Coturnix japonica: one gene and its partner. The protein of the gene in region 1 interacts with the protein of each later gene in a biochemical or structural test. Links are inferred from orthologs where the notes say so. Each region holds a gene or a part of one and is shown on either strand. Other genes may lie near its edges. The genes, in order: PKD1 and HDAC9.

Region 1 (16,420 bases):
AGGGAGCTGCAATTGCTGGCTGACCAGGGAACACAGTGCTTCCAGTCAACAGCAGAGTAGAGAAGTGCTTCTAATCTTGTACTGTAGAAACAAGGCTGGAAGGAACATCAATCCTTGGCTTTTTCCCTTTCTCAAGGCAGGTCTGACTCTATTTCAGTTACTTCTGATGGAGACCAGCTTGTCCTTGGAGATTCTGTGCACCCAGTAATATGGAGAAGAAGCACAGAGTTCCTAGGTGCTGTCTTCCAGTATACAAATACATCACCTTATCCACACCAGTGGCATGGCAAGAAGCAGAGCTGATAACACTTAGGACATCTCCATTGAGACCCTGGTGATATCAAGGAATGACACCTACTGTCCCTGTGTGGTCTGTATGTGGGAGAAAGAGGGACAGGGAAGTAAAAGAACTGGAGAGCATCTAAGCTGCTCCTGGAAGAGCAGAAGGTTGGGGGTAACGATTGGTACGTACCGTGCACTGAGCCAACGCTGCTGAGATCTGCTGGATATCATCAACCGTGTTCACATTCAGTGAGTTCAGGGTTTCTGTGATGTTGTTGCGAGTCCAAGTCCGGAGTTCAAATTCATTCCCAGTCTCAGATTCCAGAAGCATTGACCGCTCATACTGAGGAGGATCAAAGCAGGTAGAGTGAGGAAATGCATCAGGTTGTTTTAGAGGCTGATGAGCTGTGCTGAATTCACCTTTCCTGCACTCTACATCTCCTTCCTGCCTGTTTTTCTCCCCAGATGGTGATTTAATGAGCTGGGTTTTCAGTAGAATTTTCTCAATTTCACAAGTGTGCTCCAAGCAATTACCTTAACAGCCTTGCACTTGACAGCTAAGTAGCACACCAGTGTGCAGTCCCTACCTAGCAAAGCACAGTGCCTGTGCTCATGGGGATGCTGAGATGAAGAAGGGTGGCTGCCTCAGGGAAGCATGTAGGAGGTGGGAGAATTCGGACCAAGATTTCTGCTTTTAAACTCAGTGTTTACACCTGAGGTTAGAAGCAGAGAGGAAAAACTATCTAAAAATGAAACCTGCACGAGGGATGTCCAGATCATCGTTTTCCCTGGGACCACTGTTTTATCTTACATGGGTCTTACACCTTAGCTTATTCTAGTCACTGTGTGCCTGGAGCCAGTTACTCCTTCTGATATGCTGATTTACACTCACACACAAAACAAAGCCCACCAAACACAAAACCTGTAGCAATCAATAGTCATTTTCCTACATTGTTAAACAAAACCTGGCCAAAGAACATTACTAGCAGTTGCAAGACCTTGCAGAGGTCCCTCTTGTGCAGTGTGCTGCTTTACCTCATTCAAGATGGTGATGAGGGCCAGAGAGTACTCAATGACCTGCTGAGGGTCCCCCTGTTTCACTAAGCCCTGAAGCACGGTGTCTGTTTGATTGTAGAGCCAGTAGGAGAGGCTGGGGAACCCCTCAGGTAAGCCAATTTCCATGGATCTGCCAAGGAAAAGAGGCATTTGGTTGAGGTGCATATTTTCAAACAGGGTTGGGAGCAGGGAGAAGAATCTGCCCTTTAGCTGGGAAGGAAAATAGAGGGGAAACAGGTTGTTAAACACCAGTGAAAGCATTACTAACGCCTGCCTTGGTAACCCAATCTGCAATGGATGTAGGAGCTCTGTTGGCCTGAAGCTTCTTAGCTGGTGCAGCTTTGCAAAGGTGGATGTAGATGATGCAAAGGGATGCACTGAACCCAGAGGAAAATATCCAAGTTTAATTTGGTGGAGCACAAAGAGCATCTAAATAGGGCCAGTGTGCTGGGAGGAGCTGCACTACTTTTGGCATCACTCCCTGGGGTCTGAGACAGCTGGGACACAGATTCTCCTCCATAGGCACTGCACAACTGCACGCTCCTCCTCAGGAGGATGGGACTAGATCAGCTTGGAGAAGGAGCAGGCACACAGCTACACCAGGAAGCATTGGGAATAGCTCGGGACACTGCCTGAAGACTCATGGGCATTTGTCACTCTGCCCTTTGAGAGATGATCCGCAAAGATAGAGGCTGTCTGTGGCAGCAACATCTCCCATTTGTTGAGCCTCCAGCAGCCTCATTTAGAAGGTATCTCACCCAGAAAATGCTGAACCCTTCAAAAAGTGATTCAGGAACTGCATGCAGACCCAGCCCAGCCTCTCCCCAGCCTTACTGGTTAATGGCCACCACAGTTGCTCCCAGTTGATCCTGAACAAGGACTGACACAGACACCACGAAGCCACTCTCGTGAAAGCCCGGAGGCAGGAAGGCACTGTGCTCAGCACGGCTGCCTTTGTACACACAGAACTCATGGTAGTGCCCAGCGCGGTGGCGAGATGCCAGGAGGATGTACACCAATGGGTCCTCTGCATTCTCCGTGTCCCGCCAGCCTGCAAGACAAACCCAAAGACACTCATGCATTTGTGCACAGAGCACCTTAACCTCTAGTCTTATGGGAAATAAGATTTTTGGAGACACTTGGCCCAAAGCTATAGACCATCAGCCAAGCCACTTTTCCAAAGCTGGATCCTTTGTTGCTGTCTCTGCAACTGGTTGAGAAGATAACTGCTGATGGGAATATCTAGCCCATATGACTGAGATGGCCCCAGTGCTCTGTCTTTACACTTCCCAGATCTGTGTGACTGTTTTGGGCATGTATCTTCTTTTTCCTGCCCTTCTAACACCAGTTTCTCCCACAAGTACTACCCTGGCCCATATACTGCTATTCAACCACATGGGTTAGGTGTAAAAAAGTGCCTTCCTGCCATTGTGATTTCCACAGGGTGCCTTAATTTGAGCACACAGAACCGCTCATGGTCCAAGATTTGGGGAACAGTGAAAGAAAGGTCCACACCTCGAATGTACTGGGATATGAGCTAAGGGAAAATAAAACAACTGTGGGAATAAAGGCACTTGGTAACTTACTAGGCATGAGAAAGAAGAACAGAGAGGGCTGGCAAGTGCCCAGCACACTCACCTGTACACTCAAAGTGCACCTTTGCCATCAGTGCCCTGAGCGGTCCTTTGGGAGACAGCCGGCAGGATCCATCGATGGGCGGCTGGTTGGGGAGCAGGTCAATGGAGGCAAACCCTTCCTCCCCTGTTGTGAGGTCTGTGATGTGAAGGGTAAAAGTATAGCCCTCCCCATCCTTCAGTGCCCCTTGCCTCAAGACCAGGTTCATTCCCGTATCACCGGTGGAGGTAGTTTTTTTGTCCAGGATGAGAGACTTGTTTTTAAAGCTATGGGCTGCCCATCTCTACAGAGAAGAAGAAGGGAAAGACAGGAGAGGTTTTGTTTGAATTTGAAGTTATGTCCCTAAAATGTTTTCAGATTGAGCCTCTTATAAAAAGTAACAGATTTCTAGTGGGAGCGTCTGCCAAATTTGCAGTTGATAATTCAGCCTTAGTCTCGTGTGCTACAGCAACAAGAACTGGAACCATTCCAAAACGTCTGATGGGAATATTTCCACTGTGAGATCTACTGTAGTCTCTGGGATTACATCACCCTCCGACAGAATATTTCATAATACAGAATACAAAACACAGGAAATAAATTAAGTACTCGTGGAGTCTCCATGGGATACCGTGTTTTATGTGCTGTAAGCTGAACATGTCCTGGACAGTTACTGTTAATAGCACAAATGTACTATTGTGATAACAAGAGGACTGCTGAGATAGCCAGCCAGAAAATGCCATGCAGGTACATGCTTGGCCTGCTGGGAGCAATACAGCTTAGCACTCACAAATAGGACTTCCACTTCTAAGACCCATTTCATTCAACAGATTGCAGAGATGTTGCTTACTGGAATCTATAATTAGAGAGCACGAGGTGCTTAGGGAATCAGAACAGTCTGAACAACCTCTGCTTGAACCACCAGCATAACACACCAACCAGCAGGGAGAAAAAAAACTCTTTACTAATCTCTTAGGGGGGAAAAAAAAAGGTCTTTGTGTAAAAACTGCTGGTACTTAGGTAGATGCAGACAGACACTGATGTAGGAGTGATGTGCTGTGTGTAACACAACTTCCAGGCCCCACAGAGCAGACATCTCCACCATGATGCAGATGCCCTGGGGAAGGGCATTCTCTGACAGCTCACCAGGGGATCTGGTCTTTCTGCTCTGTCCCCTTCTCCCTGAAGTCTACTAAATGCAAAGCAACAACCAGCATTGCTGGGCACTTTACCCCAATCTTGGAGTCATTGTGGCAGTTTTGGCAGGTCCCTTCCAGGTAGACATAGGAGCTTTTGCTGACTTCGTAGACAGACTGAGCTTTGCAGGAAACACACTCTAGGGATACAATCGGGACTCCTCCCCTCTTGATAAATACCTGAGAAAACAAGAGGCTCCATCAGGAGATCTGAGATGCTGAGGGACAAGAATACAGACATCTAGAAAGTAAGCAGACGTTGCAGCACCTGCTTTTCAAAGAGGAGATGGTCTGCACCAGCCCAGTATGTGCTATGGAAACAGCAGGAAGGGATTCCCAAGGGATTTCAGATGGCACCAAGGGACTGCATTCTTCTGCAGAGCACCCAGAAGCATGGGTCCTGCAGAAGGCTGCTGCATGGGAAGCATCTACAGCCCAGTGTAACAGAGGGCTGAGGGCAAGCCAGAGAGTGTGTGTTTGCTGAGGACATTCTTTGCTGTGCAAAGCCAGCACCTGCTCCCTCCAGGATGGCCACAGGGACCGCCTCCCCAGTTTCTGCTCTGATCTATGGAGCTTGGCATTGAAGTGCATGCTGCATCCCATGATTTGACCCCTGGGCTCTTGGCTGCTTTGTGTGAGCGTTTCTGACACTATCCATATCCCCAAGAAACAAAAACAAAGGCAAAATTAGCTAGATGCAACTCCCACTACACATCAAATGCTCTTTGCTGTGCAGATGGAAGAGCCAACTTCTTCAGAGAGCTGAGTATAACATCCCCATTCTTTGCCTAAAGCCCTTTGATCCCTAAGGAAACAGGGCTGTTCAGCATGGGACAGAGCCCTCTCCCCTGGCATAATGAATGTTCCAAAGTCAAAGAAAGACAATAATGAAGACATTACTCTCAGTATGGCAACTTTTAAAAGAGAATAAATATTCAGCGGCACTAAGCCGGAGTGCATTAAAGCTTCATTCATTCCTATGGTATTCGCAAATTTCCTATGAAACTGGAATCATTGTTTTGCACTCATGCATGGAAACCAGATAGTACGGAATGTCCTTGAAAGACTATCAATTTCATTTTTCTTTTTTCTTTTTTTTTTTTTCTTTTCTTTTTATCCTCCAGCTTTGGTTTAAAACCCAGGCAGTAAGAATTTCCACTTTCAGACTAACTATATCTCTAATTGCCAAACACACCATGATGAATGTTACTGACATAAACCATAGCCGCTGTCGGAACACAGATGCATTCAGTGTTAGGTTTAATTTGACATAAACAACATGCACTTAAGAAATCCTCCCTTAATAACATCCAGAAGGACGGTGAAATTAAGGATCAGCATTTAGGAAGCTCTCTGCAGGCAAAAATCAAGGAAGAACTTGGTAATGTGACGTATGAAGACCGCAGGACTGCGTACAGCAGTGGAACAACTACTGACCACGGGATCTTTTGTGTTCTATAGCAGAAGTGTTGCTGCAGACCTCTGGTCCCAGGAACCAGACCGGGGCTGGGTTGTGAACACCAGGGTTGCACAGTGAGACTAACCCCAGGTCTGCAGGAAGAAATAACAAGGACTTGGCAGGACAAGAAAACAGTGCTGTGTAAGGTGAATGTATCATGGAAACACCTGCACCTGTCTCTGCCAACCACCAGAACAGGACTGCTTATGTAGCTCCAGCAATGCCCTAAATTCTATTTCACCTGCATCTCTGCCCCTGGGATCAGGTTGGGAAAGCAGCAATGGGCACACAGAGACAGAAAGCAACAGAGTTCTGTGGTACGTACGGTTTGATTTGTTGCCTCGGGATTCATACCCTCCTTCCAGACAGTGAGGTTGAACGTATACTCCACATCTGCTTCTAATACAGCTTTGGGAATTGTGACATTTCCTCCCTTGGCACTGAAATTCAGAGAGCACCCTGCAGCCGAGCTCTGCTTGCAAGGAGAAAAGAACTTTCAAACCCTCCTTGGTACGGGTGCACATCGGGTTAAGTCCACAGCCAAAACATTCAGGCCCACACAAAGCCCACTTATCACAGAGCTCTCTGTGCAATGCCACCACCAGGGTGGGACACACGAGGTGGTGTGTGAATGACAAAGAACATTAACCTACTCTACAGGTTCATATGAACGCTCCTGTTCTGCTCCTGAGTTTCAGATTCTTAATTTATAGCAACTGACTCTTCCATCAAATACTTCATAAAAATTGCTAAACATCACAAATGAAACTTGAAATTCTCATTCACACATAGCTCACATATTTTCACTTTGTGAAGATAGAAAGCAATGACCTTGGCCAAGGAAAATAATCCTGCATTCAATTAAAATATTCTCCTGAGGTGGATCTCCCATGCAAACGTGAGGGTCACACCTCCCCTTCCCCTTATCCACTACAGCATCATATCGCCTCAGAGTGAGGGTGACAGGCTGAGTGATTTGGCTTGTGCCTACTCCTCTAAAGTCGAACTGTTGCTATCAGACATCTAATTGTTCACAGAAGAGGGACCAGAGCCCTCCGCCCTTTGGACAGCAGTCAGCAGCTCTGTGATTCCTTCAGGTTATGGAAGATGTTACACTGAACCTGAAGCAGAAGCCAAGAAGAAAGGAAGCAGAAGAATGAATGCCTTTGGCTTCAAGTGCAAATGCTTCTGAAGCATACAGGGAGGGTGCTCAGTGCTGAACTACAGCAGGCTGCATTGCACAGCTCCTCACAAAAACTGCTGTACCACTGTCCTGAGCTGGGAATTGGGCAACATTTGCAAACCTCCTTCCCAAGCAGCTTTGTTAAAGATGGTCACAACAGCTCCCCTTGATACCATTTCAACCCAGATGCTAACACATGTATAGTGAAGCTGACACTCAGTCAGAGCTCCCAAATCATACAATTACCCAGGTTGGAAAAGACCTTGAAGGTCATCAAGTCCAACCTCAGTCTAATTTTCAAATGATCACCCTCTATGGCTGTACAAAAATGCTCTTACCTTGGAGGAGAAGGTACAAGACCACTGGTAAAACAACGGAGTCTGTTCACCATCTTCCAAGTTTGGGTCATAGGATTTCTCCCCATCCAAGATTAAGTCTTGAGTGTTGGACCACACACGGTATGACCCCCCATCAATGATTGGGACCAGCTTACTCGGTATCATGGTTACATTGGCAAAGATGCTTTTGGACAATGGAGTATCTCCAAAGGAGACAATGAAGACAAAGCAGTAGCTCCCAACTTCCAGGGCGAGCTTTGGTATAACGAGCTGCGGCCTGTTCACATCAACATTTGGCAGATGGATCCTGCTGGAGTCATCCAGGTGCAGACAGCTGGGTGCTCGGTATATCTCCCATAGGTGCTCTGTCTGATACTTGATGCATCCCCGCAGATCAAGCTGTGCCTCCAGGTAATTCCTCTGGGACCTCTTCATGACCACTTGAGGGGGCAAGGCTAGCTCCACCTCCGGCTCCTCGCATTCCAGGACCTTGACGGTAACAGTGAGGTGGGCTATGAAGAAGCTGATGAGATTGGTGGCATTCACCTCCACCAGGTAATCCCCAGGGTTCAGGTAAGAATAGTTGGCCACTGCAGTCCTGGTCATTTGAGTGGAAGAGCCGTCCCCAAAGGTCCACAGGAACTCAACACCCCTGCCATTGGGTACCACTGCTGCTTCAAACAGTGCTGTTCTATTGACAAAGGCATTGGAGGCAGTGAGGGAGACTTGGAGTATAGGGTCCTGGACCTGGATGGTTCTGGTGATATTGATACCTCCCAGGTCATTGAAGGCCCTGAGGTGAATCTCAAGAAGCCCTGCAGCCTCTGGAGTGTAGGAAACACTCTCTCCTGCTGCAGTGACCACGGAGCGGCCCTGCTCCTTCCACAGGGAGAACTGCCAGGAGAACAACACCCGGGAGCCGCTCCCCACCTGGGCACTGAAGCTCTTCTCTGTACCTGTGGGAATGCCTCGCTCGCAGCAGTTTAGGAGCCTGATGCCACGGACAGCCTCCAGAACCGAGATAAGCACCTGGGCATGAGCAATGCTGATTTGGTTCTGCACTGTCACAGTCACCAAATAATCGCCGCTCTTGGTGAACTCATGTGTGTACTTGGACCCATTAAGCACTACGGAGTAGTCCCCACTTATGCTCACCAAGTAACTCACGGAGGTACCCGATGACATCCTGATCACAAAGGTGACCTGCTCACCTGGCTCTACCACCTTCTTGCTGGCAATAACTTCCAGTCCTTGAATCCTGTCAAGCACAGAGATATTCCTGCTGGCCACAGCCCAGCTGATGTCATTTGATGCATTTAGATAGACTGTGTAAAACCCTGCTGTGGGGAACATGACTGCCACGGACTGGCCTGTCAGTGTGCCATTCGGTACCTCCCAAAGCCAGGTCACTTCAGTCCCCTTCTGCAGCTCTCCTTCAAAGATAACAGTGGAGCCTGATGAGACATACCTACAGTCCAGTTCTGCAGTCCCTATACTCAGTTCCTCTATGACCTCCTCCACATAGACACTAATTGTTGCATTGGTTGAATCCAGCTTGTTTTCTGCTCCGATTACAACCTCCACAGCCCCAGGGCTTTGGAAGGAATGTATGATAAAGGATTCAGATGTAACAGGAGAGAAGCCATCCTCCAGGTACCAAATATACGTGATACCAGAGCCACTGGTTATGGTGGCACTTATGTTAACAGATGCATTAACAGCAACTGGGTTGGGGAAGGCATAAGGCTTTAGAAGACCAAGGCTTTCGATGAATTCCAGTGTCTTGTTAGCAGTTGCACATCCCAGCATGTTAGTAGCTTTCAGATAGACAGTGTAGTTTCCAGCTTCTAAGACATTCAAGGTGAAGGTTTTCCCAGTGGATGTCTGCACAGCATTGCCATCTTTTTGGGCTATCCAGCTGTAAGAGATGTTTGTCCCCTCTCTCACCACAGCGTGCAGATGGAGTGTTTTGTTAGTTGGGAAATAGAGATCCTCCACCAAGTCACTGCTAGCCACCTGCAGGCCTTCAATCTGTTCCAAGACGTAGACATAGATACTGTCCTGCAACGAGCTGATCTCATTCTCCGCGGTCACAATGACATTGAATGTGCCCACGGAGCGGAAGGTGTAGAAAATTGTGGAGGAGCCTTGGATGGGAGTACAGCGGTCACAGAGAATCCAAGAGTAGCGGATGGCATTGCCAGCTACAAGTGTGGCCACAAAACTCACTGAACCATTTAAAGGCACAATTGTCCTGCTGGCATTGATGGTAATCCCATGTAGCCGACGTTTCACTGTGATGTCCATCCTGGTTTCATTAATGCTCACGTCATTCTGGCCTGTCACACTAATAGTGTAATGGCCAGTATTGTTGTAGGAGTGGGTAGTGGTTTGGCCAGGCTGGGTAATGCCATCTCCAAAGTCCCAAAAGTAATTCACTTTGGTTCCATTCATGCTGGCAGAGAACAAGTAGACCTGGTTCAGCTCTAAAACCTTTGTCCCATTATATTCAATCTTTGCTACCCCAACTGGCTCCTGGACTTCCACAAATGCCGTGTCATTGTTGAAAGAGACATTGTTGGAGACAGTCACTGTAACCAGGAAGACCCCTGTGCTCTTGTAGTTGTAGCTCACTTCAGTTCCACTAGACCTTGTGGACTCATTGTTGCCAAAATCCCAGCGATAGCGGTACTGGTAGGGGGGCATAGCACTGACCTGGAAGCTGCATTCCTCACCAAGCCTCACAAACTGCTTGGAAGGGAGAAGTGTGACATTGACTACCTCTGGCTCCACACAGACACTGGTGAAATAATGAGCCTTGTTAAACTTGCTTGAGAGAGTCAGGGATAAGGGGAACGTCCCACTTCGTGTGAAGTTGTGCATCACTACAGGGTCCCCACTGACTGTGACGTTGGATGAGCCATCTCCAAAGGTCCAATCAAAGATGTATTCACTGGGATTCCCTGTGACGTATGCAGTGAGCTGCACATCTGGATGCTCAAGAATGCAAGAAGTAGGGTCTATTTTGAGTACTTCCAGGACAAATATCCAAACAGGAACAGTTTGGGAGACAGAGTTCACAGGATTCACAGCTGTCACATTCACAGTGCAGTTGATGTCCTTTGTGTACACATGTTCCACCACTGGCACCTGACTCCTCAGCACCGTCCCATCCCCCATATCAAATATCCAGGTGATACTGTCTCCCGTCTGCACTGAAGCATTAATGGTAACAGCTGCACCCACCTCTGCCACCTCATCTGCGGAAACGTAGAGCCCAGTTATCTCTTCAAACACTTGGTAACACTCAACTGTCTCCACGGTGCTTATGGTGTTGTTTGCTGACACCGAGATGTTGTACACCCCCCTGCTGGAGTAGCTGTATGTCACCGTAGACTGGCTCTCTGTTACCAGTGAGGACCCGTCCCCAAAGTCCCAGGTGTAAAAGACACCATAGGGAGATGGAAGTGGAATGGCTCTGAAAGTGACTGAGCGGTTTACAACTAAAACATCCTTCGCTGTTTCTATTTGCACATCAACCAAATAACTGTGGACGCAAACTGGGGTCATATAGGTGAGGTTCTCAAACTGGTTTGACACTTGAACCACCAGGATGTAATCACCTGCACAGAAAAAGAGCAGAAAAGGAACAGTGGTGAGAGCAGTAATTGTGCAACAGCTTTCTCAGTACTGTAACAGTATGGGAATGTGACAAGCAGTCCCAGGGAGACGCTCTGTTCCTGCTGCATACACCCTGTCCTTCCCTCCTCTGTTCCAGGGCAAGCAGGAATTATGACCAGGCCATGTGATGTGCCAGTTTGCTCAGGAACAACATAATGACTTCAAAGGTACTGTTTTATTTGAAGGTGCCTTGTGACATCCATGAAACAAAAACATCTGAGTTCTTTTTTCCCTAAAGAACCAGCCTGAGCATACCTGGGTATTCATAGATGTGTGACACATTGTGCTCAATTATAACCTCGTGGACACTGGGATCAGGAACAAGGAAAGACTTGTTGTAGGGAGGTGTGAACTGGTATGTCTCTTGGATACCATCTCCAAAATCCCACCTGGAGAAACATACAGACTACATTGCACCACACCACAAAAGCCCCAGGCCTGAATCTTTCAGGCATAAGGTGAGGGTTTTCAGAAAAAAAACATAGCAAGTATAATGACAAACATCAAAGAAGTAGCTATGCCAATGCTGCAGAGCCATGGCTGTCAGAGGAGCACTGCACTACTAGGAAGAGTGAATACTGAAGCAACATAGAAGTCCTTTAAGAGAAAACTATTTCAGGCTTCAAGTACAGGTCCCAAGCAGTGTGACTGAATCAGATTTCCAGGGACTACTAGACAGCAGATGAAGAAATGGACATTTAAAATCAACTGTCCCAGAGAGAAGAAATAACACGGGGAAGGCCGGTAAGCCGTGCACAGCAAGATCCTTCATTCAGGTAACTTGCAAAGGACTCACAGGAACATAGCATCCACAGCTGAATCAACCTGAACTCTTGCTGTAAACTCCATGGTGCTGTTCTGGGGGAGGACCGGAGGGATGCCCAACACAGTCAGGTTCTTCATCTTATTCATCATCTCCACAGTGACATTGTAGTTAACTGTAAAGTTACTGACGTGGTTGGAGGCGGTGAGCTGGGGAGGACAGTGGGACAAAGAACTCACTTGGAATCTCCTTGCCATGATGCCCTCTCCTCAGAGTGGGGCTTCACTGCGTGGAAGAGATCCCCCCAGGCAGGCAGCAGGTTAGGTCAGAGAAGAGTAGCCTGTGGGACAGGGAGGCAGAAGCAATAGCCTGAAAGGCTCTGGAAAGCAGCATAGACTGGAAGGTCACCTAACCAGCAAAGCCACCTTTTGCTAGACCCACACCTTTGACACTATACTAGTCCAAGGAAGGACTTGTCAGCACAGTGCAGCACGCAGAAAATTAGTGCAAGCGTGCCTTCAGAGCTAGGGCTGGTGTCTCTTCTGCCACTAGTCATCCTGCAAATGTATTAAGCAGCCTTTAGCCAGACCAAGACTCTACATAGCAAGAACCAGAAAGGTGTTCTGGCCAGAGGTGAACTTCTCTTCCACAGGAGATACTTTCTTCTGTCCAGATATTTTGCTCTATCCTTCTTCTGGTGTTTCTGACTGCACTAGAAAAAAGTGGACAGGACAGAGACCAGGAGAGCTTGTGGCAGAAGCTCTGTTCTGGCTATGAAAATCTTACATTTGAATTCTACCCCTGCCTGGTTCTGAAAACACATCTCCTGCATGCCAAAGCAGTGGCCAGCACTCTACTCTGGGGCTCACTGCCTCATTCCTGCTGGGAAGGAATAAGGACAGATATTCCATGACCAGAAAGGAGCTGGGGAAAAAAGGAGAAGGCAAAGATAAGAAAGACAGAGAAGTCAGCAGGAAAGAAAGCCATAAAAAGAAACTTACTATGTGCATTTGCAAGGAATAGCAGAGGAGCTTGTTAGGAGCACAGCAAAAATCTCCTCAACTCAACTGGAGCACATGGCATGGACCTGCACTACTGACAGCTCCTGAATGGAGCAGGCTGTCTGCAGAAAGCTCTGCTGCCTTCTTTCCCTGCTCCTTTTCCTGCTTAGCTCATGGGATGAAATGGAAACCCAGGATTAAAATGGTATTATGGTATTTCGGCTTACCGAAAGCTTGTACACAGCTGGGCTTTGGTAGATAACGTTGAAGACAACATTGTAAAAAGTGAAAGATGGTTTATCATCTACCGTCCATCGGAAAGTCACATCTGACCCGGCTTCCATCACAGGGACATAGCTCTGAAAGGCATGAGGACATTTTATGCTAGTGCAAGAGAAAAGCATGCACAGCGCTTCCCAGATGGGCTGGAGAAGGAGCAGAGCCAGACTGGGAGGCATCACACACGCATAAGACACTGCTCTCAGAGAATGACACAGGTGTAGGATCACCTGTGGCTTTGCCACTGACAGAGCAATGCAGATCCCGACTCCATAAACCAACAGCAAAGCTGGGAGCAAAAGCTCTATTTCCTGCTCCCACATCCTCATGATCTGCTCTTGGGATCAGGTCTCTTTCTTGCTGGCTAAAAGGCTTTCTGAAATCTTTGCAGAAATAACTCAGCTTTACCTACACCTGCAAACTCAATCTCTGCCCCTAGTCCATGGATGCTGCCTGTTCCAAACACAAAAATGGTTGCCTTGCATCAAACAGGGTAAGTTCCCTACTCCTACAGTACCTCCTGAGCAGGGAGTGTGAGACTTAACAGGCGTTGCAGGCACAGAGTTCTGCCATAAGCAGCCAGAAACTGAGCACAGTCCTTTACAGATAATGATGGGCAGTTTTTAATCAGGTTCTGAGGGCTTGGCTGTAGTTCTGGGGATGAGGGATTTTGGGGGAAAAAAAAGACTAAAAACATCAGAGCAAGTCCAAGCCTTTGATGGATGGAAGAAACACGTCTCTAGCTTCTGTCAGCTGGTGTAAAGATTTAGTAGAGCAAATCAAATTGCCTGAAGGAATAAACTACCTTGACAAGTCAAAACAAGGTAAGCACTGGCCTCTGATAAATGCATCAATTTTCCAGTCAAATCCCTGGGAAAATGAAAAGCCAGTATTGCTTTTGCAGGAAGCGCTGCCTTACCTCTGAGGGAATTAAAGTGAGCATACAGCTGAGCTGCTTCCCTGCCAGAGAGCATGAGTGGTTTCTGCCACATGCATGTACCAGAGCAGTGCTGACTGCATGGCTCACGAGCCAGCACTTAGCAGCAAGCAGTGCTATACCCTGACCGCATGTGGAATAGAGCCCTTGTCTTCCTCTCGAATCAAACTTTACTTTGGCAGTAAAGGCTTAACATCATTAAGTAGAAGCACCAGTAACAACTCACCACTCGTGTATTTAGCAGGACTCTGCTCTCAGGGTCTGGGGTGGCCCTCAGCCCACGGATAGGCTGTTCCACTTTTATTGTGATGGTGATGTTCTGGGAGCTGATGGCATTCTCTGCAACAAGGATGTGGGTACTTGCCCCCTCCTTGAGGCCGCTCAGGCTGAGCACAGCAAACCAGGTGTCATTGTTCTCTCTGGCACAGTCTGATGTCAGTGGTGCAATAGTCTGTGGGCAGGCCCCTTCGAAGGGGAAGGTGTGGTTGTCTCCCAGCCAATGTGCCGTCGCATTCATTCCCGAGGAGATTTTGACCACCAGGGTGATGTGGTTGGATGGTACATACACTTTGCCACCTTGAGGAACTGGGTGAACAACACGCAGGCCTGACACTTGGGAAGTAACCCAGAAATTGCACGACAGATTGGAACTGAAGATCCCATTGTCCACGCTGGCTCTGACTGTGTAAAGTCCTGGATGTGCTAGCCCTGCATTCTGGGGGCTGATTATTGGGACCAGCTGCTCCTTGGCATAGAGAACTCGGAGAGAGCAAACAGTGTTATGGATCCAGGTGGCATCAATGGAGCCGGCAGGGAGGCCAAGTGCCCAATCTGAAGAATTTGTACTAAAAAAATTGGTTCTGAAAGGGGACGTGGTACTTAGTTGGCACTGGAGGAATGAGCCCACGCCTGCATTGTGCTGGATACTGAAGACATCCTTGGCTCTCACAAAAACATCTTCTTTGCTGAACGTGACCTGTAGGGAGAGGAGACATTTTTGGTTTGCTGCACTCAGCACCCAATTCTTGCCTTGGCAAAGCTGGATCTGCTGCCAAGAGGAAACTCACAGAAAAGCCAGAGATGTGTACACTGCATGCAGAAACATTTCACCACTCTGCTCTCCTCAGCCACTCTGAACCAAATGCTCTTACATGGAAGACAGCTTTATGCTTTATCTCCACTTCTCAAATGCAATGGGAATAACCCAGAGCATCCGCACAGCCTTTTGCCTAACTGTACTATTGTACTGTTGTTACCACAGGGAGTTTGCAGCCTACAGAGATGACGACAGAAAGTGGTGGCATGAGCCCTGCACCAGGCCTGTGAAGTATTCCCTGGGTAAGCCATTTCATTTGAATGGACTTCAGCTTTTCCATCTGAAGACTGCAAGCAATTCTTAATTTGCCCAAAGCACTCAGAGAGAACTGCCCCACTTACTCACTAGTTACAGCAGCTAATAAAAACTGACCAGATAAGGGGAAGAAGGGCCAGCTGGTATTGTAAAGAGGAACTCCTCTACAAGTTCATAGCTGAGCTGGCTTCCATTGTGCTGAGGGGATGCAGGGACAGGGCTGCTGGCAAAAGAACTGTTGGTGCACTCTGTAGCATTGCAGCAGTTGTTTACTGATGAGCACAAATCAGTCAAATGACACCACTGGAAGCCAGGAGGACATTCAACTAGAGTATAATTCCCATCGTCCTGTGAAGTAGGAAGTGGTTCTGTAGCATTTTGTCCCTCCTGGTACACTGGAAGAGGTAAAGAGAAAGCAAAGATTACCATTTTAACAGGCAATTCCGCTCTAGTGCAATTCTACTCAGCTCCAAATTCACCATATTCTTTTCTCTGTGACTGATGATGACTTCATCATCAATGCTGCAACTGCAATGCATCCCAGTGCTAAACAAGTCAGAAGAGTCCTGTTTTACTGGCAAACTTCACAAAGGCACAAAGTTTGTTAAACATAAAGTTAGTCTCTTTTCCAGGAAGAATGCGCCAGTTTGCAATCTAAAAGAGATCTGTGTTCAAGTGAAAGCTAGTCCAAGCAAAAGCAAAGCTGGCTTTGACATTGAAAACACATTAAGTAACTTTTCTTAAATTAATGTTTCCATGTTAAAGTATCAGCTACCCTTTTGTAGCCAGCCAACTGTATGGCTATAGCAAAAAATCTGCAGCAAAATTAATTGTTGCCAAAACTCTGAGTATTGAGCTGTTGTACAAGGAATACGAGGCTTATTAGATCATCTCATCCATCAGGAAAAAATGGGCTCAAGAAAATATTCTTCCTCATTAACCTGTGGGGCCAGATGGACCAGAACACATTCCTTTTAGACGTATCATGTCTTCCCAAACCATAGAAGTATAGCTCAGAAGGTTAATTTCCTTCAACGCGTGTTTCAAACTCTCTCATCATTCTTGACACATGGAGACAGGTAACAATGCCATAAGAAACTACTTGGGATCTTCATGGGGAAGAAGTATCATTCCTAAGTTGTAGCTTAGGGGAGTTTGTCCTGCTGTACCATTACTGTCACAGATGCAGGTCAAGACTTTGCAGTCCCTGCCGTTGTTAACCCACCACTAACCAGACTACCATAACTGATGAAGAGCCGTTATTTAGCTCCTCACTGGTC
Region 2 (16,420 bases), on another chromosome or scaffold:
ATTCTGTTTCCAGTGTGTATATCTATAGGAATTTTCATTTTTGTGACAAATGTTTTTAAGAATTGTTTGTTTATATGTTTTATGTTAGGAAAAAATATATATATATATTGCATAAGAAAATGTGATTTAACAGAGTTTTAGCTAAGGGAGCTACTTCTCTAGGTCAGTGACAGGACATTCACCTCAAAAAAACCTGGAATGGGCAGTTCAACCTCCAGCAGTGACTTTTCCCCATAATGAATTAATTGTGTGTGTGAACTATGATCCAGAGGGCAGGTGGGTGACCTCTGCACACTGATTAGTAGCCTCTCTCTGGCCCGTAACCAAAAAGGATAAAAAAAATAAAAATTGCATTGATGGCTAACATGTGGTCTTGCCTCGTAGCCCCTCTGTATGTGATTGCAAAAAAAAAAAAGTAAATGATGCAGAGCAAGATCCATCATTTGGATTAGATCAGATCCTAGCTCAGTCGTATTAAATGAAATATTTTAGGAAATTTGTCATATATGGATGTTGATGCCTCATTAAACAGGAAGTCATATCCAGTTGCATTTTGTCTTGACTTGAGGATACTACAGAATTCAAGGGGAATAATGGTTCACTGTGTGTTACTTTGGGTATTTTAGTTTCTGGGCATTTGCCCACAGCACTGAACCAGCATCAGAAAAGGATTGAGTCAGGTCAGGCTTGCAGTCTGTCTGGGGAGATTTGGCAAGGCTATACCAAACTTTATTTTCTGTTAATAAAACACTTCACTTACCATTACTGTGCCAGTTATCCACTGTTTCAGTTCCACACAATCGAAAATTTTCAAATGAGACTAAAAAGTTCCTTTTAAATTTGATTTCTGTATGCTGGAGTCATTCTCTTAGCTTGGTGGACGTGGGCAAAGAAGCTGAAACTACTGACTTCCATTTCTGGATCCAGTCAGAGATTTCATTACCTCTCTGGTTACTTGACTGTTAATACTGTGGTCCTGTGGGCTCAAACATTTTTCCATAAATCTCAAGTTCAGTGCATTTTGATTTCAGTGGGATTTTCTTTGGTAGTTTAACAGCAGCCAAATTGCTACATATCTCTTTGCTAGTTTAGCACTAGCTGCCAGCTCTCAAAGACTATGCATCTAATCAATTTTTCATCAGATACACAAAGTACTGAAGTTTCTAATAACAGGCTAAGTGTTCCAAAATCACCCAAAGTATCACTTGTTTTGCTGTAATCCTGAATGACTCACATTGCTGTTGTTTCATAATAATCGGTCTGACATTTGCAGTAAGTGTTGTGCTCGTATCTGAGTGGGTGGATAGCTGTGGTTTTCATGGCAGCAAATAAAACACTTTTTGCTGAGGAAAACCAGGTTGCTATGACAAAGCCATTTACCAGTAAAGCATGAGTCAATACCATAAATGATTACACTCCAGTACATAGACAAAATTAGAGCATTATCAGTAATGTAACAAATTTTTAAAGTATTTTTGCCATACCCATTTGAATAGCTAGACTTTTACGTGGCTTACCCTCCGGAGTACAGTCTGGTGGGCAGGCATATCTATTTTTTTGAATGAACAAATGCACACTGTGTATGGTGCACTTATGCAGATAATATTTTCCTATCACAGTTCCCCTAATGGTACTTTCAGTAACATTTGTTAAAACATTAGTTTCCTTATATGAAACTTAGAAGTTAAACTCAAGATCTTAATTGAACTTTTATAAATAAAGTGCTGTTTTTATTAGGCCCAGTTGTCTCCAGCAGCATCAAGGTTCACCGCAGTAGCTATTTGTCTCTTGTAGTGTGTCATATGCTTTCAGGTCACCTGCTGTGCTTGGGCTAAATCTTACTTGTATGAGAAGTGCAGTCAGGACTGATCCCTGCACAGCATGTCCCTTGAGTTCAGAGGGACAATCTGCAATAGTCATGTGAAATAATTTGTTTTAAGAATGCACAGACTGGTCAAAAGCCAGTGAAGGTAATGGAGAGTTTCTACTTGATGTTGTTGGACTTTTGGTTGTTTTCTTGCTCTTACATTTGCTATTTGGAGAGCAAAACTGCGTAGGATGTCACCGTATACAGGAGACAAAAATGACATGTATGGCAGATATACACATTCTTGAGCATATAAACAAGACTGAGACTGAGTTTTTACATGGTTTTAAAACAAAAGAGAGAAGAGTTAGTCAAGATGTTAGGAAGAATTTTGTTAATCGGAACAAAAAGTGTGAGACACTGATGCAGGCTGCCCAGAGAAGTTGTGGGTGTCCCCTCCCTGGAGGCACTCAAGACCAGATTGGATGTGGCCCTGGGCAAACTGATCTTGGGGGGGTAACCCTGCTCCCAGCAGAGGATTGGAACTGGGTGATCTTTAAGATCTTTAAGATTTAAGATCTTTAAGAATGGCCAAGCCAGGCCATTCTGTGATTCTATGATTATATCTCCACAAGTTGCAAGTATTTAATGCCAAACCATTTCCTCTTCCCCTTCTAATGTATAAATGATAAATGTGCATATAAAGTAGGTGTTCCGACTTCCCAGCAGGCCCTGGCAATAAAATAGAGCACAATAACTAAATGTGGGTGATAACCTATTAACTAATCTAACTAATCTTGGTGGTAGCCATTCACTGTTACATTTAGTTATCATACTTCTATTTCAAGAAGGAGGGTCACTATGTTGTCAGGCTACTTTAGGCATCAGTGAACAGAATCCATAGACTCAGTGAGTAAGTATATGGAGGAGCAATAAAGTAGTTGCTCTTTGGCATAATTTGGGTTTCAATCCAACCCATGAAGGACGATGACTTATCTGTTGTGCTGTCCATAGACTCAGTGAGTAAGTATATGGAGGAGCAATAAAGTAGTTGCTCTTTGGCATAATTTGGGTTTCAATCCAACCCATGAAGGACGATGACTTATCTGTTGTGCTGTGTCATTTAACAGTCATACGTGATCTTAATGTGGGAATATGTTTTGCTGTTATAAACCCTGTCACAGTTCCATTTGTGGATTCAAATCATAGGAAACAATAATGGCATTCTGGAAACCAAAAAGGAAACATGCATTTTTGCAGTGGCTCTCTATAAATACTGCAGTGGATGGATACAAATTTGGTATTCTAGAAAGCACACGAGCTGCTACAGCATCCATTTGCAGTCAAATCTTCATAGTCTTCCTCTGTTCTATCTCTGTGGTCTTGATTTATTTGGCTTTAATCATGGTCAAAGGTGGATCTTACCAAGGCAGGGCACTGTTAGCTAGGAATTAATGTAACGAAAAAGTGAAGCTTCTTTGTTTCATACGCTATCTGTTGACATTCCCTAGATACCAAAAGAAAATTACAGAGATAGACTTCTTCTGTTTTTGTCTCAGTGATAGGTCGTATCTCCAAACAAACTGTATGAGGAAGGTTATGTTTTGCAATAACATCCTGTGTTTTTGTGCTTAACTGCTTTTCATTGATGGTCTGAAGTTGCATTGTATTAGCACAAAGTATTTTACAGAGTTAATTGATATTCCAGGTTTGTCCAGGGGAAAATCTACAGCTCCCCACAACATGCTTGACAAGTTATTATATTTACTTTAGTCAAAGCCCGAGTGTGCAGTATCCCTCTTGGAGGTGGTCTATTATTGGAGTCCCATATGCTTTTTGTTTGGGAAGAAAGCAGTCACTGTGTCATACTGTTACACGGGGTATTCTTTTTCAAGGATGTTGTTCCCTTGGGGACCATATCATGCCAGAGTTCCTAAGTCTAATAAGACCTTTGTAGGTCTCATTGTGTTAAAATTCTGGGAGGGAAGCAAGAGTTAAAGAGAAAACGTAATTCAAGCAACTATACTAGACCACATGTTGAAAAACATGACTGTTAAAGCAGAAACACAAGGGCATTAAAATATTCCTATTACAGTAATGTAATTTTTTATATTTCTTCCCTAAAATGGAAAGATGGAGGGTGATCTTTGTAGTATGCCTGATTTACTTGACATTAATTATATCAGCAATTGTATGCACATGAAAATTATATCACAAGGATTCAAAACAAGTGTTAAATATTTTAAATTTTAAGGAATTAGGAAAGAAGTGAGGGGATATTCCACCATCAGAGAATGATGAGTTGCTATTCTTTGTGTATATGCAGAAATAGACACGGTGTATATATATATATTAATGACTGATGCGAATGTGTGCCTCACTTTCTACCCCAAATTTCCATGTCAATGTCAATGGAAATTAATGATGTGTTTGAAACACCTTCATATCATTATATGGGTAAGCGCATACATAGATAGGTAGGAGCCATTTTTCATACTTTACATCAAAAATGTTATTAACTATAGTAGAGGTCTAATTCCTCCATATTCATAACACTTTTGATTTATCTAGTTGCAATCAATAATTCATTGGCTAAAATCCTGATGGTATTTTAAGCAGTAAAAGCGCAGTTGATGAGAGAAGAGGTGGATTGGGAATCTTCAAGCATTTGGGTCTGAGTAGAAATTTGACTTATTAGCCAGTGCATAATCTTAGGTGTACTTCAGATGTTTTCTTAAGAAAGAAAATATCAATATTTTCTTTACAAGGACAGTACCTACTATCTGGAACCCCACTGTGGTGCAAGCCAATCCATGACACATAACTGGCTTTAAATATAGCAACAAAATAGGCATAATGTTATCAAGATTTAAAAAAGAGCTTGGAGGTTGTATGGAAATTGTTTTTCCTCTTTATTCCAGCATCTGGTTTCACAGCAACGCCTTTTGATACAGGATGAATCAGTGAACTTGTTGAGTCTGTACACGTCCCCTTCTTTGCCCAACATTACCTTGGGACTTCCAGCTGTACAATCTCAAATCAGTGTAAGTGATCAATCGTAAGCCTTTCTACATTTTCTCCTACCTTTTTTTTTTTTTCCCTCCTACTTTTTTTTCCCCCTCCTACTTTTTCTTCCTACTTTTTTCTCTGAAATAACCTACTTTCTGCCCTTTCTCAATTTTTAACATTTTGGAGCATAAGCAAATCAGAGCAGGTTCCAGACCTTTCTTTCAACTGGGCAGCATCTGAAATTTTAAGAAAACAACTTGAAAGCAATTATTATTCTCAATCTGAAATAAGAGCTGATGTGAAGTTTAGCTAAGTATGGGCCATTGTATTGTATTGTATTGTATGGTATTGTAGTTATATTTGTAAGTATGATAACAAACTTCAGAGAGTATAAAAGTTCTAATTGTATAATCCCTCCTACTTGGTAAAGCACAGCACCTCTGACATTCTATAATGAGATGCAGTGGCAACCCAAGCTGGGCTAAAGCATAGCAGGGGAAGAATCCAGCATTCCTGAAGTTGAGGGTTTTTTTGTTTTTGTTTGTTTGGTTGGTTGGTTTTGTTGTTGTTGGTTTTTTTGTTGGTTTTTTTTTTTTTTTTTTTTTTTGAGGGATTTAATCACATAGATTAAATTTTTAGTTATGTAAACAATATTTAATGACTAGTTACATTCATATATCCTTTGTTCAGTCTGCAACAATCAAGTTCATTTAGAACTTAGTGTTAAATTAGGGTGTGAAATGTATAAGAAAAGAGCTACAACATGTATTGAAATCATATTGATGGATGTTGAAAGATCTTTGTATTAGCCAGCTTTACAGCAATCTAGAAGTAAAATCTGAGACTCAGTAAAAGAACTTCTAATTTTGATACTGGTCAAAACTTTCTCTTCTTGATTTCCGGCAAAAATAGTCATATAATCATATTGTAGTTCTATACACCATTGTATAAATTCTGAAGAACTTTTAGAAAATGAATTGGAAACTTCTATAGAAATACTATATTTCCTTATGTAAGAAAAAATAAAAATATATCACAGTATCACAGTCTCATGCGGGTTGGAAGGGACCTTAGAGATCATCAAGTCCAACTCCCGGGATTTGAGCCTCTGTGTAGCAGAGCGGCACTTCTACCACTGCGGCACCGGGGCACACAATATATGTATCTAAACAGTCTACTACAGTTTGCAATAAGTACTGCACAGTTCCAGTGCAGGTTAAAGTTTCTTGCCGCTTAATGGCTTTTTTTTAGTGCACTTAACCAATAGCATATTGCTGCAGTGAAGCATTTAAAATTAGACATAGAACGTTGAAAGGAAAATTGTGTAGGCTTTAAATCATTTCTCTAGAAGTCTTTCATGAGATATTTATAAGCAAATGATTGGTTTTAAGGGATGGAAAACTTGAACTGATCATGAAAAGTGGTAGTTACTTTTCCAGATCATATTGTCAAAAAAATCATAGCTATTTCACACACACACACACACACACATACTAAAAAAAATAAAATAAATAAATCTTACTTCAAAGTAATTTTAGAACATTAAAAAATAGAAATGAAAATATATTTAATTTTCTCAATAGTGCGAGCTTTTGATGGAGTCAGCTGGCCCCAAATATTACTTTTGGCATTTGAAAAAACAAAAGGGTTGATTTATGCAAATACTGCCTATTTTTCTTCCCACAATAAGTAATTGCAAAGTGGATTTAAAGTTTACTTTGGTGTTTATTCTTCAGGAAAGGGTGATAGTAGAGTATAAAGTAAGCATGTGCCCCAAAAAGTCAGTTGCTTAGTTTCTTAGCTGCTTAGTTTCTTGCAGTGCTTGTTCTTCCTCCCTCTTCATGTCACAGTCAAAGTGCAAGAGATAGATTTAAACTTTTTCTTCTGTATTCAGAAAGACCATCTAATCAAGTGAGATAACAATGGCCAAGACAATGAAAAGCAGTCACCAGTGTCATTGTTTCTTGACAGGCTTCATCATCATTCAAAGAAAAGCAGAAGGGAGAGACCCAGACACTCAGACCAGGAGTGGCATTGGCTGGACAGTATGGTGGGAACATTCCCCCATCTTCAACTCATCCTCATGTTGCTTTGGAGGGAAAACCAAATAGCAGCCACCAGGCTCTCTTGCAACATCTGTTACTGAAAGAACAGATGAGACAACAGAAACTTCTTGTAACTGGTAATGATCAAAGTTTCAACACAATAATCATTTTAGAGGTTTTTAATGACATTTTTATTCTGGATGTTTTAAAAAGAGGAAGGGTGGGAGAAAAAGGATAGAATGTTTGTTTTCCCACTTCAGTGATTCTGCTCGATTAGCCTCAAAGGATTCCTTGATTACAGTAAAGAGAAAATGATTACTTCATCACATTCTTTAGCAACTGCTGAACTTCCTAGCATGGCTAGGCGTGTGGTACACATCTCACTGCATCAGCACTGATACAAAGTTCTGCAGCATACACCCCTCTTCTTAGTGAGAGATTTCTCTTCTATTAGAGCTAGTATTTTTCTTCACACTGGAGTAAAATGTCATTGTTTTGTAGGAGCAGTTCCTCTTCATCCCCAGTCTCCTTTGGCAGCAAAAGAAAGAGTCTCACCTGGCATAAGAGCTGCCCACAAACTGCCTCGTCACAGGCCTCTGAATAGAACCCAGTCAGCTCCTCTTCCTCAGAGCACTTTGGCCCAGCTGGTTATCCAGCAGCAACATCAACAGTTTTTGGAGAAGCAGAAACAGTACCAGCAACAGATCCACATGAATAAGGTGAGTTCCCAAAGCAAGTAATTTTTAATGAACATCCATGTTGAAAAATAAGTGAAGTGTAGATGCTGGGGCCATGTGGTAGATGAGAAAAACAAGTTCTTGCATGAGTACCTTGCTTATGCATAGTTTGTATATATTTGCATAGACCTTCATTTTCATTTTTCTGAAATATGGTACAAGATTGGTTTATGCTTGATGGCATCAATAAACATGCAATTCAATGAAATAGGGATCAAAGAATCTTTTAGGCTTAGATTACAAATGCTTTCCTGCTGAATGCTGAATGATGTCTTATGGATACTGTATTTCTTTGATCCAACTTCTCTTTATTTGCCATTTCCAATTTCAGAGATCATTCATTTCAGCTGCTGAGTCAGAGTTTAAGCTTACTCACTATGGAATATTGCGTGGAGTAAATATATGATTCATTTGAAGTAAATCAGCTGATTAAATTTATCTTGTTTTTGTTAAAAATTTATTGATCATCTGTAGAAATTTTAACCAGCTTTTATCAAATCAACTTCTCTGTAAATTCAACAGTAATGTAAAAGTTTGTTATCTGTGTGGCAATATAAAAATACCAGTGATAGAGAAAGAGAAGGATTTGCTGTGGCTCATGTCATATACAGAGTTGAACTGTGCCTGTTTCCTTGTAGAGTAGCATATTTTTCTGAGAGGAAAGAAAGAAAAAAAGGACAAGAAAAAAGCTGCTTAACTAAATCACTGTTGTAGTAATCATACATCTGTACTTTTCTTGTTTTGCTTGAGAGTTATTTGGAAACTATACATAAGAGCTAATTGCGAAGGAGAAAAGATGAAAAGCAGGACATTCAATCTTTGTACCTATGAGAAAGGGAAAAAAAAAATCAATCCACCTTACAGGGTGAACTTCCCAGGGGGTACTGATTCCTTGGAATCTACTAAGAATTCTCAACAAAATTAGAAACAAACCTAGAGTTTAAGTACATAGTTTGTACAGTGGTTTGGTTATTAAATCTTGCCTTAATTAGGAAAAATGAAGACCAGAAAACTTCAAAGTTCAGTGCTGATCCTTGCATGTTAACCCCTCTCAGCTTGGGTGTTTTGATTACTCAACTAGGACTCCAGTTGGCTTTTCTTTGAGTATGCATTCCATATGTTTAATCAAGATGGCATATGTATATCTTGTAGCCTCAGGTTTTGAAAATATTTCACCTGCCCTCAGTTGTCTGAAAAAGATTTTTACCAGTAAAGTACTGAGTCTTTGTGCCGTTTCTGGGTATCCACTGCAAACTGATCAGCTACTGCTCATGCATTCTTCACAAAGCAATAACCACAATAACATGTTTTTGTTAGGTCATATGCTTATTGACATACTTTCTACCATAGCATTTGGGGGTACATGGTGTAGCATCTATATATATTTGTCTTGAAAGTGAAAATTAAACTTGAGTCGCATAAATATATTAGTCACATATGACTGTAGATACATTGCACATCACAAGATCTTGGCTGGAAAACAACTAAAAAAAGACTTCAATTGGCATGAGAGAATGCCTGCTTTAGTAACTTTTTCTTTTTTTTCTCTGTGTTAAACTGCAGTGAAAACAAGTGTTGAGAACAAAACACTCCAGAAATACTCTTCCATTCTAATGTGATTATTTACAATAAAGGGACGATACAATTCCTTCCCTTAAAGCCTAGCAAACCTAATTTTTATCATCTACACTGTAGACCATATGCACATGTAGATAGTAGAAATTTATCCCAGGGCCTTTCACTGTCTTGAAATACCACAACATACTTCCTTTTTCCAGCTATCTCAATTTCCTCTATCTGTACTCCCAGAGCAGATAGCTTTCATCAGGATCACAGTCTCTCATCAGAGCAGCAGACACCTAAAGAGGAGAAGGATCATCGTGCACCCACAGAAGCAGCAAATTATGTGTGGATGTGGGTAGTTTATCAGACTTTTTTTATGGTCTACAGTAACAAGGTTCTTGTACCATACTGTTCCCTGAACCAATCTGCTGCCTGGTAATAAAACTGACCATGCTCCAATCACACATCTGTTCTCAGCAAGTATACAAAAAGCCAAGTGCTTTCTTACTTACTTTTTAAAAACTGGCATTTAAGGTAGTCAGTAGAGAAGTGGTGAGAAATGATCAAATCAGGAAGTGGCTATTAAGTACTGAATTTAAGGTTATATTATTTAAGTCCTTAATTAAAGGTTTAGATTGAACACCTGTGCATGCATATTGTCTCTGAATGCGAGCAGCAGGATAGAATGTACTTTGTTCATTCTTAAACCTTACTTGTATTTGTAGTTGATGTTATTTATTTATTACCCAACTTAACACATTTCTAGAGCTCTTATAATCAAACCTGAACTCTGCAAAGCAGAGTTATCTGAATCCAAGAATGAGATATTCTGGAAAATGAAGCAAAGCAACCCAACATCTTATTTCTTATAACAAGTTTGAGCATGTATCGAGAGAATATATATATTTATTTTCCACTTCTCTATCCCTCACTATTTAGTACATAGACCCTGTACTGAAATCTTACATAATTCCCTCCTTGCAGTCTTGAAAAAAATATTTAATGAGGAGTACTCAGACATGGTTTGAAAATGTTTCATTAGAAATACAAGAGCCATTTTAAGCTGACAAGACTACAAAATGCTAGTTGATGAAGATTTTGAGAACAAGTTAAGACATTCTATTTATTTTGTATTTCTTTTTCCTTTTCCCTTTATGTTTAGGACTTCAAGTGCTTAGGGATTTAATATATTTCATCTGAATCTGTTATTTAAGGTATTTCTCTGAGCTGAGATCGTGTGTCATGTGTCAGGAATCCTTGAAAAATGAGTTTGGTCAAATCTTAGGTAACAACAAAAAGAGGATGAGAGCAACAGACTCTACCCACCCTATGGATTTTCTATTTATCTTCTATGTAAAGGTGATTTCTTTCATAAAATAATATACTGTAACTGCAAGTCAGTGCTGCCGTGAGGGTGATAACAGGCAAAATCTGACACAGGTTGGAGGTAAAGGATCCCCCTGGATCATTTCCATTCTGAATAGAAACAAATAATTGCCAAGAGGTGTGTCTTTGTCCTTAATAAAAAAGTGAAGATCCCCTCTGGATTATTTCTGGTCTGCTGTCAGATGCCATGCTTTTGATGTGGGAAATGGGATACCTGCAGGATCTAGTATACTGACCTCCTAAAAATATGTTGCATAAGTTGACATCATGTGCAGAAGTAGGTAGAAACCTGCATCCCAGCTTTCTGGGGAAAAAAGAATTATAATGAATGTGCAGTAACCTGAACTCTGCTTGTCCCAGGAGAGCTTGATTTTGCTGTTGTCAGCTTTAATATGCTTCTATCCAACTTGCAGCATATTTCCTCGTGAGGCCCTTTGATCACCATTATAGAACTTCATCCTGCTCAGTAAAGGGAGACCAAAGACTGAAACCTCTATCTAAAATTATTGCAATCAGGTTCCAAAATATTGCTACTGCAATAAAAATCCTGAAGTCTTGTTTCCATTTGTGTATCTCTTTATCTAAAAAGCTTTTATGCTTCCACTTGCTAAAAATATATATATATGATTTTGAGGTAACGAATATAAATGCAAAGCCCATAGTCGAACTCTGAGATAAAGAAAATCTCAGAAGTCATAATGTTAGCAGCATGTAAACAGAACCCTCCCTCAGACTTTAAAGGCTGTTGTTTTGTGTGTGTGTGTGTTTGTGGTTTCTTTTTTTTTTTTTTTCCCTTTTATTTTTTATCATTTTTTTTTTTCCTATGTAGGGTGAATAAAATCAATCCTCTGCTGAACCTAAAGTGGCACCATCCTCACTGGGACCAAGATTTCAATTGGTCCATATGGGAACCCTACAAGTGTTCATAAAATAATGTTTGTTGCATTTTGACAATTCACAATTATTTTTCAATGATAAAGTATTCCTTTGTATTGAGTAGTAACAAAATAATGGAGCCATTTGCAGTGTGCATTAAAGTACAGAAACAGTATGGACAATGCTAAAGATTAAATAAGGAGTGCCTTAATGTTCCAGGCTATTAGTCAGTTTAAAGCATCTTTCACTGGGCAAGACTAAAAGGTAAAAGTTATATGACAAAAATAGAGTGAATAAGAGTAAATGTTCATTTACAGAAGTTTATCATAATTGGCCAATGTGTATTAATAGAAAAATGAAAAATAATATGGGCTATTTCTATTGATTGATGGAAAATACTAGGAAAATTATTTGTTAGGAATATTGAAAAGAGCCAGGTAACCACAGGTTCATCATTCACTCTTCTTATACTTAATGAAATAAGAAAGACTGTTTTGATCAGGTTCTACTTGACTAAATTAACCGAGGTACTATAATCAAGGTTTGTCTTTCCAACTTACCTTTCTGACTTGCATCCTCAGAAGATGAGAGCAGTAACACTGCTTCTTTCAAGTATTACTTATAGTAGGGGATTATATGAACAAGACTATAGCAGTGATTAAAGGTGTTTGTAACTGAAAACTGCCCAGAACATTTCATCCTTTATTAAGAACTAATGTTTAAGTCATAAAGCAGAAGAATGATCTTGGAAGGATAAATACATCCCTTAGAAGTGTACTACACAAGTAACAGGAGAAAACAGTAAGCAGTTTCCAAGTTATTTCAGCACAGCTAACAACTTGCGTAGCTGGTCAGAGTAACCCGAGAGCCATGGCACAAAAAGAGAAAAAATGTTTCCATAAGCATGCAGATGAGTTCCTAGAAACAACAGCAGTGTGTTTCAAGAAGGAACAATCAATTAAGGAAAGAAATGTATGTGGTGGCTGCTGCGGGGTTTTGTGCTTTGTCTCTTTGTAAGCACATTTTATTTAAAATATTTCATTTTACAAGAGCTTGTTATTAAAAAAGAGACACAAAAATAGTGTCTGCAACTGGAGGCCTTGTAAAACAGTCTGTTTCAAGGTCCAGGTTATTTGTGTGTCTTCCATTTTCCTGTACAGCCACGCAGGTTTGATTGTTTTTGATGTCTTTTTTTGGTCGGACTCTTGCAGTTATACAATGGAGTTGATGTGTGTAAATGCTTCATCTCCTGCTGCCACTATTTACTTTGGCTCATGCATATCCCTTACAATTTAATTTCCTGAAAATAAAAGGGGAAAAAATATATAGGTTACATTAGCATGAAGCCTTTTTTTTTTTAGTAACTTTAGTTGGAATAGCAATAACAGGAATGTATATTGGTTTAAGAAGACCGATCTGTACAACTAATTTATTCACTAAGTAAACCACTCCTATGTTATTATTTTTAAATGTAGTCTTACTAAAGTTCAGATTAAGCAATCACATTCTCAAAATGAAAAATGTGCATTAAGAACAGGAGAAATTCCTTCACTGTATCTGTAGATAAATACAGAAAAAAACAATGGTAAGTGGAGATTTAAAGTGAAAGATTTAAATGTTAAGTGCAAGCAGGAGTATCCAGCTGCACTGTGAAAGGACTTTGGCAGTGTTTCATTCAGGGTTCATTTTCTGCTGAGTAATCCAGCTTAAAATAGAGAGATAATATAGAAATATTGACTTTCGACTGCTATCTTTGTGGGTCTCCAGATATGTAATTACCTACAGTAGGGCCAGGGGATAAAAGTATAAAAAAAGATGCTGTTGTCTTAGGAGAACTGAACAGCCTTCTGATAACATTACTAATGTAATTAGTGGAATAAAATGGGGCAAGCTGCCTTTAAGACCCACACTAAGAAATACCAAAGTGTGGTGATATGGAGATGCGGACTTGCTGTAGCTTAGCAGACTAAGGAGCAGGAGTGCCTTTGCAGATTTTGCCCGCATGCAGTGCACCCATTGTCGTTATTCTCTGCCCTATGAGAAGACAGCAAGAGTGCCTCCTAGCCCCTTGCCTGAGGCTTGCTTTCATTCTCATTTCCACCATTATGAAGGATACCCTTCATAAGATTTTGCATGGGAGCTGGCTGTATTTACGCACTTTGTAAAATCTCTTGTGAAAACAAACACTTTAATCTCACAGAATTTTAGAAGGCTTAATGTGTTTAGCTCCTCCTGTCACCAGTCTGGAGCAAATCTACTGATTTCCGTGGTGAAGGAGCAGGCCCCAAAACAGGCACACTGCAAGCTGAAATGCATGCAAAAACCATGCTGGTCTCACAACCCTTTACATATGTATCTCCCCACTGACTTCACACAAGAAGAATTTAAAGCATTCCATGTATAGATTATATACTGCAGGACATCATGTGTTGCATCAGAAAGCTCAGCAGCACTGAAGATCTGTGCCATACAGCAGTAGAAGAAGAAAGCATCTGACATTAAAGTAAAAAAGCATAAAAGAGGAGAAGCAATGAGTTAAATGTGTCGTTTCTGTGGACCTGCTCTCCTTTACTCTTGGCTTTCCTTCCAGAATAGTGCACCTGATGTCAAGTAACTGGCACATGGAATGTTTTACAGATGGATCAGCATTAGTGACTCTTGTGGCTGTATATGATTATCTGTCACGCAGATGTTTTAGTTGTATTTGATCACTGGCCAGGCGGCCAAGCAGCCAGGCTTTCCTTCTTTGTGCCTGAGGAGTGGAGAGGGATCACCCACAGATGTTACAGAATAGTGTACCTGGTCTGAATACATGTAGCTTGCTTCAGAGCTTTCCTGGTCAGTGTCACCCCCTGAGAAACAACTGGGTCTGATATGAGAATTTTTCCAGATTCTCCTTATTAGAAAGAGATGCTCTGCACTGGTTGCGGAACTGAAGATTCCTCAGCTTAGAGCAAGCCACCTACAGAGTGGGTGGTACGTATATTGTGATTCTGCATTGTCCACAGCAATGAAAAGGAATTTTTGCTTAATTCTTTTTTAGAAGGTCATTCTGCTCCCATTACCCCCAAAAAAATCCATTTGCAAAATCTTCAGTAGGAAATTGTAAACTAGATTTGATTGCAGCACCCAGGCATTTGGCACCTCAGCAAAGCTCTGCAATGGCAGTTAATGGTGTAAAAGCAGCATTGTCTGGGTAGTTGTACTATGTCATTAATGCTGAGACAAGGGAACCTGTACCATGCATGACAATGTCTGCAGTCTTTCCAATAAGGGCCAGACATCCTCACAGTCTCTGTGCCAAGGAGCAGTGACTGACTTGAGCTCTTTGTCACTGTTCGTCTGTGTCTCTTGGGACATGCATGCAGTGATTGATGCAGAAACATGTAGGAATATTTCCTGATTTGCTTATATATTAACCAGATTATTTTTTAGAGTTCCTTTATAATTTTTGGTTGGGAAAAAGTGAACAGTAATGTAGTTAAGTAAATTTCTGCTTTTTTGTTTGAAGAGTATGAAGGGAAGCTAATTGCTCTTGATTGCCAGAAGCTACAATGTAATGGATGTGCTATAATGCTTTCATTATTCTGACCAATTTTTACTTGAATATTACCATAAAGCACTCATTACATATATAGTATTTTCTACTGCAGCATAACAAGTGACCTTTTACTTAAGAACTTTGGTTCTTTTTTCTTCATAGATTAGTATTTAGCTTGCAATAGAAGCTGTAATCTTGTTGATATCTAGTACTTCCCAGTGTTCTGCACTGATGAAAAGAATGATTAACTGGTTCCTCTCCATCTCTTTTCAGATGCTCTCTAAATCCATTGAGCAGCTAAAGCAGCCTGGCAGCCACCTGGAGGAAGCTGAAGAAGAGCTGAATGGAGACCACTCGATGCAGGAAGAGCGAGCTCCCGCCAGCGGTGCCAGCATTAGGGCTGAGAGCAGCAGTGCTGGTGAGGATGACAGAATAGGACAGCAGGCGGGAGCTGTGAAAGTCAAAGAGGAGCCACCGGACAGTGATGAGGATACTCAAACCCAGCAAATGGAATCTGGGGAGCAAGCTGCTTTTGTGCAACAGGTAATAGGCAAAGATATAGCTCCAGGCTTTGTAATTAAGGTTATTATCTGAACATCAAATGCATTTTCTAGGCTTTGACAAGCAATTGTGTTTTGATTCACTGAACTAGCAAATCCTGATTTACCATTTAAAGAATTTAACAAAAGCAAAGGTGTTGTATGCACACATCAAAACATAGCGGAGCTCATCCTTATGGCCACTAATGAAGCAAATACCTGTTGCAGGCAATTGCTATACATAAAACTTTGCGTATTAGATGATAGAATTTGTATCAGGCCAGGATTACGTTACATTGCTTAGTTCTAGTGCAAGACAGCTAGTATCACTTAGCTTGTTGAGATCAGCTACTGCTGGAATTAGTTTCCAGACCTGATTGATGAAACATTCTTCTCTGATTTTGAATCCTCTTACTTTTGCTTTCAGCTATATGTATATAATGTATCATAGCATAGTCTTGAACACTGTTAACAAACAATAGGGTAATTTTCCCCCATAGACAGGTACTGACTGCTACATCAGCAGTCCCAGGCTGGTGTACAGAGTATATAAATTAGAAAAGTATGCCTGGTGGATGTAAACGTGCAAGGCAAGGCACTGTTTAAAACTTGCATTGTTTTCTTTTCTGCATTGCTTAATTCATTTTTCATTCTGTCTCATTTGATGATACTGTCCACAGAAACATCCTTAAATGAAGCAGATGCAAATATTGGCAAGAAGGAAAATGCAGCATTAGGTTCTAATCAGATATTACGGTATTGAAGGAAAAACACAGAACTGTTATCATTATTATCTGATGTCCAATCACTTGCTTATTGTTTTAAATAAAGACTAATCATACAACATTGCATAACCTTTACCACTAGGTCTCATGGACAAATCCTAAAATAAGGACCGTGTAAAGAATGCCAACTCG

What was found.
Region 2: the proteins of PKD1 (region 1) and HDAC9 form a complex in vitro, tested with the Homo sapiens proteins (2 studies listed by BioGRID, with this or other methods). The link is inferred for Coturnix japonica from reciprocal best matches to the Homo sapiens genes PKD1 and HDAC9.

What each region holds. Positions count from the first base shown.
Region 1 is NC_029529.1:6,274,196-6,290,615, forward strand, and holds part of PKD1 (polycystin-1), read right to left. Parts: intron 15,536-16,420; coding exon 15,258-15,535; intron 14,766-15,257; coding exon 14,016-14,765; intron 12,933-14,015; coding exon 12,801-12,932; intron 11,782-12,800; coding exon 11,606-11,781; intron 11,199-11,605; coding exon 11,065-11,198; intron 10,752-11,064; coding exon 7,129-10,751; intron 6,083-7,128; coding exon 5,933-6,082; intron 4,329-5,932; coding exon 4,185-4,328; intron 3,257-4,184; coding exon 2,977-3,256; intron 2,390-2,976; coding exon 2,173-2,389; intron 1,469-2,172; coding exon 1,318-1,468; intron 626-1,317; coding exon 473-625; intron 1-472. UniProt on the Homo sapiens protein: Component of a heteromeric calcium-permeable ion channel formed by PKD1 and PKD2 that is activated by interaction between PKD1 and a Wnt family member, such as WNT3A and WNT9B. Both PKD1 and PKD2 are required for channel activity.
Region 2 is NC_029517.1:26,954,313-26,970,732, forward strand, and holds part of HDAC9 (histone deacetylase 9), read left to right. Parts: intron 1-4,728; coding exon 4,729-4,851; intron 4,852-6,787; coding exon 6,788-6,998; intron 6,999-7,362; coding exon 7,363-7,580; intron 7,581-15,237; coding exon 15,238-15,507; coding exon of another isoform or gene 15,508-15,558; exon of another isoform or gene 15,559-16,420. UniProt on the Homo sapiens protein: Responsible for the deacetylation of lysine residues on the N-terminal part of the core histones (H2A, H2B, H3 and H4).